Linked DNA regions of Sus scrofa. The protein of the gene in region 2 interacts with the protein of the main gene of each other region in a biochemical or structural test. Links are inferred from orthologs where the notes say so. Each region holds a gene or a part of one and is shown on either strand. Other genes may lie near its edges.

What was found. The genes of interacting proteins can lie anywhere in the genome.
Region 1: the proteins of IPO13 (region 2) and MAGOH form a complex in vitro, tested with the Homo sapiens proteins (2 studies listed by BioGRID and IntAct). The link is inferred for Sus scrofa from reciprocal best matches to the Homo sapiens genes IPO13 and MAGOH.

What each region holds. Positions count from the first base shown.
Region 1 is NC_010448.4:158,986,951-158,991,014, forward strand, and holds the start of MAGOH (protein mago nashi homolog), read left to right. Parts: upstream 1-1,221; 5' UTR 1,222-1,718; coding exon 1,719-1,806; intron 1,807-4,064. UniProt on the Homo sapiens protein: Required for pre-mRNA splicing as component of the spliceosome. Plays a redundant role with MAGOHB as core component of the exon junction complex (EJC) and in the nonsense-mediated decay (NMD) pathway.
Region 2 is NC_010448.4:167,337,777-167,341,339, forward strand, and holds part of IPO13 (importin-13), read right to left. Parts: intron 1,272-3,563; coding exon 1,131-1,271; intron 1,047-1,130; coding exon 905-1,046; intron 824-904; coding exon 657-823; intron 467-656; coding exon 346-466; intron 261-345; coding exon 113-260; intron 1-112. UniProt on the Homo sapiens protein: Functions in nuclear protein import as nuclear transport receptor. Serves as receptor for nuclear localization signals (NLS) in cargo substrates.

The sequences.
Region 1 (4,064 bases), about 8.4 Mb from region 2:
AGACAAAATTTTCCTTGTTTGTATCCACCCCAGCACCCCTCAAGGACCACATTTGACTGTATTTGATGTAACAGGCATGTTAGAATGTGGGGTCCCCCTAACCATTTCTGCTTTTTGTCTTGTCCTTCCAAGTTCCGTTAGCTTCTGTACTCGGTCCCCTTTGGAGTCTGGTTTCTCTTCCAGAGGCAAAGGGTGATGTGCTGCATCTCACTAGTTGACTTACATCATCTTGATGAACTAAAAACCAAATGTGGACGTTTGTAAAATAAATGCACTCTTTCTAGAGATTAAATTCATTTTTTAAAATCTGGAAGTACTGTTTCATTGTGATGCTTCAATGAGGGGGGTGTGGAGGATCAATATTATTGTTTGAATTTTAGAGATGAGGAAACGGGTGAAGGAACTGCCCAAAGTTGACACTTATGTTTTAGTGCCCCCCAAAGTACGTGTCGCACATGCAGTGCTCATGCGCATGTGGCGTTCTCTGCCTACATTTTCCTTCTCTGCCTCCTCTGGCTAATTCCTATTTGTCCTTGAGTATTCCACTTCCGAAGCCTTCTCTATTCTCCCTGACTCAGACCTGACTCATAAGATATGGTAACCATCTGTGTTTCCACAACAAATTTCGCCTACCTGTATCCCAGTATTTCCACTCTGCCTCTCACTCCCATGCCAGTGAGGCTGCTTTTACCAAGGTCACCCAGGACCTTCTTAATTATAAACCTTGCAGATATTTTCAGTCCTTATATTCCTTGACCTGGAAGCAGTATGTAACACTGTTGGCATTCCGTTCTTGAAATACTCTTATTTTGGCTTACAGGATGCTATACACCTGGTTTCCCCCCTACCGCTCTAGCTACGTCTTGTTCTCTTTTGCCTATGAATTTCATACTTCTGATCTTCTCATTTTCCAATCCAGTCTACAATATTGAAGCCAGAGTTGTTTTTCTAGAATGCTATATAGGTCATTTCACCACCACCCTTTGGATGACTGGGGAATGGGCGATTAAATAGTTAACTCCTACTCAAAGCATCTCTTCTAAAGACCAGAGAGGTAGAAAAGCAAAGGAAGAAATAAAAGCTTGAAAGAGATAAGTGCAGGCGAGTTTGTTACAGGGAAATGGCAAGCTCCACTGTGGATTCAGGGAAAGCGTCACGGAGAAAGGTTTCTTGAACTGGTCCTTAAACAGCAGGGTTCAGTTGAGCCAACGTTAGACACATGCAGCGTAGTGCGGGGCGTTCTATGAGTTTTGGGTCCTATAACCCTATTTTACTGTTGGCCCAGAGAGAGTAAAGGGCTTTGTCCCACTCACACAGACAGGTGTCCTGAAGGAAGGTGGAGGTTCAGAGGACGCAGGACTTGGAGTGTAAGCCCTTGGTCTTAAAACGCGGACTCCAGACCACGTTCGTCCTCCTACCAAGCTCTAGAACCCCTTGGACCGCAGGCCCAGAAGGACGCAGGCTTACAAACCTCAACCTCCCTCCCTCCCCGGCTGAGGGGGCGGGGCTACACCAATCCCGCCTCCGTGGGGAAGGGCTTCGTTCCGCCAGGAGGGGCGGAGCCTACTTGGCCCGCGGGTCGGGAGGGGTCGCTCTACGCCCGGAGGCGGAGTTGTCTGGCGTCACTTCCGCGCGCCGTTGTCTACGTCAGTGTCGGGCGCCTACGGCAGAGGTGCGGTTTGCTCTTAAAGTTCGGTCTCGGATACCTTTTGCGAGCCATGGAAAGTGACTTCTATCTGCGTTACTACGTGGGTCACAAGGGCAAATTCGGCCACGAATTCCTGGAGTTTGAGTTTCGACCCGACGGTGAGAAAAGCGTCCGGCCTGACGGGAGCGAGGTGTAGGCCTGGGGACGGGCGAGTGGGAGGAGTGTGCGAGGAACTGGAGGAGGAAGAGACTGATGGCTGTGAGGCGCCGATTTGGAAGGAACGATACTGTGTCTTCCCCACTGGTTCTTTTCGTGTTCAGAATCTTCTGTTTAGTGACATTTCTGACCACAATGATTCATTCAGTAAACGTTCCTTGAGCGCCTACCTTGTGCCAGGCTCTGTTCCACCATCTGGGATACAAGAGTGAACACTTCCCGTCTCATGGAACTTAGATTCCCGTGCTGGGAGATCTGTAAACAACAAACAAACAAAAAGCAACAAAAAAAGAAGATTCCAGATAGTGATGAGTGGTCAGAAAACAAAGTGATGGTATAATTGCTGGTGGACTGCATTTAGAAAGGGTGGCCATAGGCGAACTCTCTGAAGAGCAGATATATGAACTGAGTTCTGATTGACAAGAAGGAGCCAGCCTTGTGACTCTCAGGTAGAAGAGCATTCTAGGCAGAGGGAGAAACAAGTATCAAGGCCATAAGGCAGGGATGAACTAAACATGTTTCAGGTGGCCAGTGTGGCTGAAGAGTAGTGAGCTCTGGAGAGAATAGTAAGTAGCCTGATAAACAGGCAAGGGTCACACCATATAGTCTTTATAGGGTGTGGTAGAGTTGGGATTTTTGTTCTAAGTGCAGCAGGAAGCAATTTGAAAGTTTTAAGCAGAGGAGAGATGTAATATGTTCTTGAAAAAGTTTTGTAGTTATTAGGTGCAGAATGGGTAAGAATGAAAACTACTTAATAGGAGGCAGAATTGTTAAGACGGAAGGGATGTTGGTTGGGACTAGAGTGATAGTGATGGCATACTGTTGATGGCACAACCAGTAGGACTTTGCCAAGTGATAGATTTGGGGAGGCGCCAGTACAGTGAAAGAAAAGGAATCAAAGATGACAGAAAATTTATCCTAAATGGGGGCACAAAAATGAACTGACACGCCCCGGTTGTGAAGGAAATAGGTTTGTTAGCAAACAAAGACAAGACAGTGTAGTGGCTACTGGGGTAGAAAGACACAGAAAGGACCCTTGGAGCAGAAGGAAGGCACCTAACCCAGCCTGGAGGTCAGAGAAGACTTCTTGAATAAGATGACATGGGGAAGTGGAGGTTTGAGCCTTTAGTAATGTGAAGGAGTTAGGCAGAGAGTCAAGAAGGCATTTTCAGAAAGCATTAACAGCGAAGAGACCGAAACCCAAAAAGTGAATGGGGTGTTTCAGGCAGAAACCAAACACATTTGACCCTTGAACAACATGGGTTTGATTGCATGGGTCCACTTAATTTTTTTCAGTAGGAAAGACCTACATGATCCACAGTTGGTTGAGTCCAAGATGAGGAACCGTGGATACAGAGGAACTGCAGATGCAGAGGGCTGGCTCTGAGTTATACCAGTGTTCAACTACAGAGAGGCTGGGTGCCCTATGCCCAAGGTTGTTTATGGGTCAGCTGTAATTTGATTAACTCCAGCTATGTGCAAGAGGACTTTTGGAGGAGTGGCCCTGGAAGTGGGCTCAGCGTAGCAGTAACCCATGTTGAGGAATTTGGGTTTTATCAAGACGGCAGTGGGAAGTCATTGTTGGTATCAAAGTGTTAGAGTAACCTAATCAGATCTGTTAACTATCACTTTGTCCACTGTATGGAGAATGAATTGAAAGGAGAGGAACTTGAGGCAGAGAGACGGTACAGTGAGGCGTCAATTAGTGTGGCTCTTTTTAGTGTGCCTTCTGTTCTGTAGGGAAAAAATTATCTCCTTTATTTCCTTTTATCTTCTTCATATCCACCATATATACTCAGGTGAACCTGTTGGATGCACATATGACTTTTTATACCAAATATGCATAATAATATCACAGGAATAGATTATAGAGTGTTGCACAGTCACTTGTTTATATACGTAAAAAGCATTTTAACAGTTTTCAGAATGCTTTCACAACTCTTGAGCCTCAGGGGGCCCTGTCTGTAGGTAAGTTATCGGTTACTCCTGTTTTTCAGCTGAGGGCATTAATCTGCAGAGATGTGATTTGCCTGTCACAAAAGAGTCTGTTCTTTAATCACAACTGAGCTGCCTTTGGCAAGAATTATAATTCATTATCAGCTGTATTTTTTGCTGGGAGGCTATTTAATAGTGTTGATGGAAAAAAAAAAAAACTCAAAAGTTGAGAGTTATGTTTTATTTGACAGACATACTGAGGACT
Region 2 (3,563 bases):
GGCGGCGGGCAGGGAGGTCTCCCACCTTGCACAGGGCCCAGGAGGCCAGCTGAGGCTGCGGCGGGGGGGGGGTGCCTTGGCTCCGGGAAAGTGGGGGTGAGCCAGGTCTCACCAATGGTGAACATGACAGTGTCCGCCAGCTGCACGTTGCTGATGCTGATCCGTGGGATGAGGCCAATGAGCCCGGGCACCACATCGGAGTAGTTGACATCGATGGTCTCGGCGATGGACTGGAAGCCGTAGAGCAGGGCCTCCGTGTGCTGGAGAAAGAGGGCGCACTGGCTCGGCTGAGGAGGAGGGAGTGACGGGTCTGGGAGGGCTGAGGGGCTCAGGCTTGGGACGTACCTGCCAGGAGTAGGGCTCCTCTGAGCTGGTGAGCAGACGGCCCAGCTTGTCATAGAGGCTGCTGAGGAGCTCGGCCCCCAGCATCTCGTAGACGTACATCAGCGTGTCTGAGATGTCCACCCTGAGCAGCAGACGAAGGCCTTACACACCGCCCGGATGCTGCCCCCAGGGCCCCTGCCACCCTGCCACAGCGCCGAGACGATAAGGAGAGGAGTTCTCGGATTCGGGAGGCCTGGCCTTGGGCCTCTCCCCTCACTGCCTTTATCAGGCCAGGACTCCCTTTAGAGGCGGGACCGGCCTACCACCATCACCTGTAAATCCGGAACTGCTCCTTCTCATCTGAGGACCAGAACCCGTACTCTTCATCAGAAGGGAACTGGGCCTTGTGCAGAAGCACATCCACCAGCTGGAAGTAGACCGGCCGGTACACCTGCTGGTACACAGCCTGCTTCTCCGCCTCGAAGGACAGAATGTCATCCTGAGAGGGAGGGGGCGCGTCAGCCCGGCCCCGCCGCCCCCCGCCCACCCGCCCGGCCCTCCGGAGGCTCCCACGACGCACCTGCAGCGTGTACCAGAAAGTGAGCGTCAGGGAGCTGGTGGTCTCGTTGACGGGGAAGTGGCCGGGGATGCCCGTGCAGAACATGATCATGTTGACCAGGGCCAGGAAGCTCTGCCAGTGCTCCACCTGGTCCAGCAGGGCCCTGGGGGACGGGCACACGGGGAGGTCGCGCCAGCCCCCCCACCCAGGGGCCCTGCTGCCCTGCCCCAGCGGCCCCTCTCCTCACCGGGAGTGGTTCTCGCCCAGGGCCACGGCAATGCGACAGATGCCGTGGGAGGTCTCCATGTCCCCATTCTGCACGGCCTGTCGCAGTTGATCCTGCAGTCCCAGCACCAGCGGGATGAGTTTCAGGAGTGTGTTCACGTACCTGGGGGCATGAGATGAGGAGACCCAGCCCCACCAGCTTGGAGAGAATGGCACAACTGTCTTCTTTTTTTTTTCCCTTAGGGCCACGCCTGAGGCATATGGAAGTTTCCAGGCTCGGGGCTGAATTGGAACTGCAGCTGCTGGCCTACACCACAGCCACAGCAATGCCAGCTCCAAGCCCTGCACCACAGCTCATGGCCACGCTGGATGCTTAACCCACTGAGCGGGGCCAGGGAATGAGCCCACAGCCTCATGGATACTAGTTGGGTTTACTACCACGGAACCACAACGGGAACTCCAAACGGCACAATCTTCCAGCAAAGCCCCCCGTCCCACATCAAATCCAAAGCAAAAAAGAGGTCAGGGCCTACACGGCAGGCGTGATGCTGCCCAGTTTGGGAGGAACCTTAGGTCAGAGACTTCCGGGAGACCTCCGGGAAGACGTATGAGAAGGTCAGGGTTATGGGTTGACTTGTGTCCTTCCACTGGACTCAGTGTTGATGCGGAGATGGGTCAGGACTGTTGGGGGTGGGGGTGAGATAAGGGCAATGTGCTTCGCACACGGGAAGGACATTACTTCGGAGGCCGGAGGGCAGACCGTTAGGGATTGAACTGTGTCCCTCCCAAAAAGTTGCGTTGAAGTCCTAACCTCCCTATCTCAGAGTGTAATTGATGAGGAAAGAGTCACTGCAGATGAGGTCAGAGCCTGATGGGACACAACCCGTATTCTCAACAGGAGCATTCATGTGAAGACAGAGACCAACAGGAAGAATGCCACGCGACGACAAAGGGAGAGGCTGGCATTAGGCAGCCAAAGATTGCCAGCAAGCAAGCAGGAGCCAGGAGACAGCGAGGAAGGAGTCTCCTACCGGTTCCACAGAAAGCTGACCCCTGCTATCAGACCCCAAGCCCCACAACCGTGAGACAGTATACTTCGGTGGTGGGTGCCAGCGTGTGGCACTTTATTCTGGCAGCTCTAGGAAACTAACACAGTCAGGGTTGGGGGAGACTGAGCAAGCATGGGAGACAGAAGAGGCAACGCCGGCTGCGGAGTCCTGTTAGAGCCTCTGGAGCAGCAACCGCCACCTTGCACTCCACCTCCTACCACCGCGTCCCAGCTCCTGAGGGGGCTCTGGTGGCAGAAAGGAGAGAAGCAGGTGACTGACTCACAAGGCGCTGGGAGGCAAAACAGACAGGCCTTGAGGACTGACTGGATGATGAGGATGGGCAGAGCCAAGGACAATTCTCAGGTTACTGGCTAGACAGCTAAGTAGCTGGGGGAGGTGCTGGCCGAGACCTGGAGGGGTGGGTAGAGGGGACAGTCACAAAGTTAACGGGAGGCCAGAAGGTGACAAATTCAGGGTCAGCCGTGTTGAATCAGAGGTACCTGGTGAGAGAGGCAGGTAGACATGTCCAGAAAGCTGGATATAAAACCCTGAAGCCCGGTGGAGAGGTGAGAGCAAGAGAGAGAGATTTTGGAGTCATCAGCAAACAGCTCTGGGCATAGAGGAGAACTGCCCATGAGGAAAGGGTTGAATGAGAGAAAAGACGAGATCCCTGAGGTACAATGACTCCTAAAGCAGGAGCAGAGGAAGCCAAGGATACAAAGAAGACTGTGAGAAGGCTGCCTCCCTCCCACTGGACCCCTCCCCAGCAGCCTGATCTGTGGCGGTGAGACCAAGCAGAGGAAGTGATATTCTTAGCGGGGAGCGAAGGCTTGGGACAACTCTGCTGTCAGTCACAGCAGCACCATAGCAATCTATGCAGAGAGGCGGGTGCTGAGGGTCCAGCAGGAGCTCTACCTGGACTTGCCCCAAGCGGCTGCCAGGCAGGTGGCCTCATAACGTTAGGTGGCGGATAAGTGGAACAGGAGGCAACCCGTCTGGGATGCTGGACGTCTCCACATCCCCATTCCAGTGGGACAAGGCTTCTACACCAGGATGCCCCCCAGCCCAGAGACAGCTCCAGAGGGTGCGGCCTGGAGTCAGCTGGGATAGCTTCAGTCTCATGGCCCTGACACAGGCTGCACCACAAGACAATAGGCACCTTCAGGCCAGACTCTGGCACAAAGAGGAGGGGCAGGGCCAAGGCCATGGCCTGCAAGCTCCCCAGTAGCTGAGATGGGGCAGGAGGTCGTGCCCTACCCCCACAGCATCCCCACTGTAGTCCAAGCCTCCCTTGCATCTTCGAAATTAATGTATACAGTAGGTACTCAACAACCGTTCCACTTTGTCCCATCTGAGCCTCATCATAGGATAAATCAAGGGCAATATACCCCAGTAGAGCTCAGACT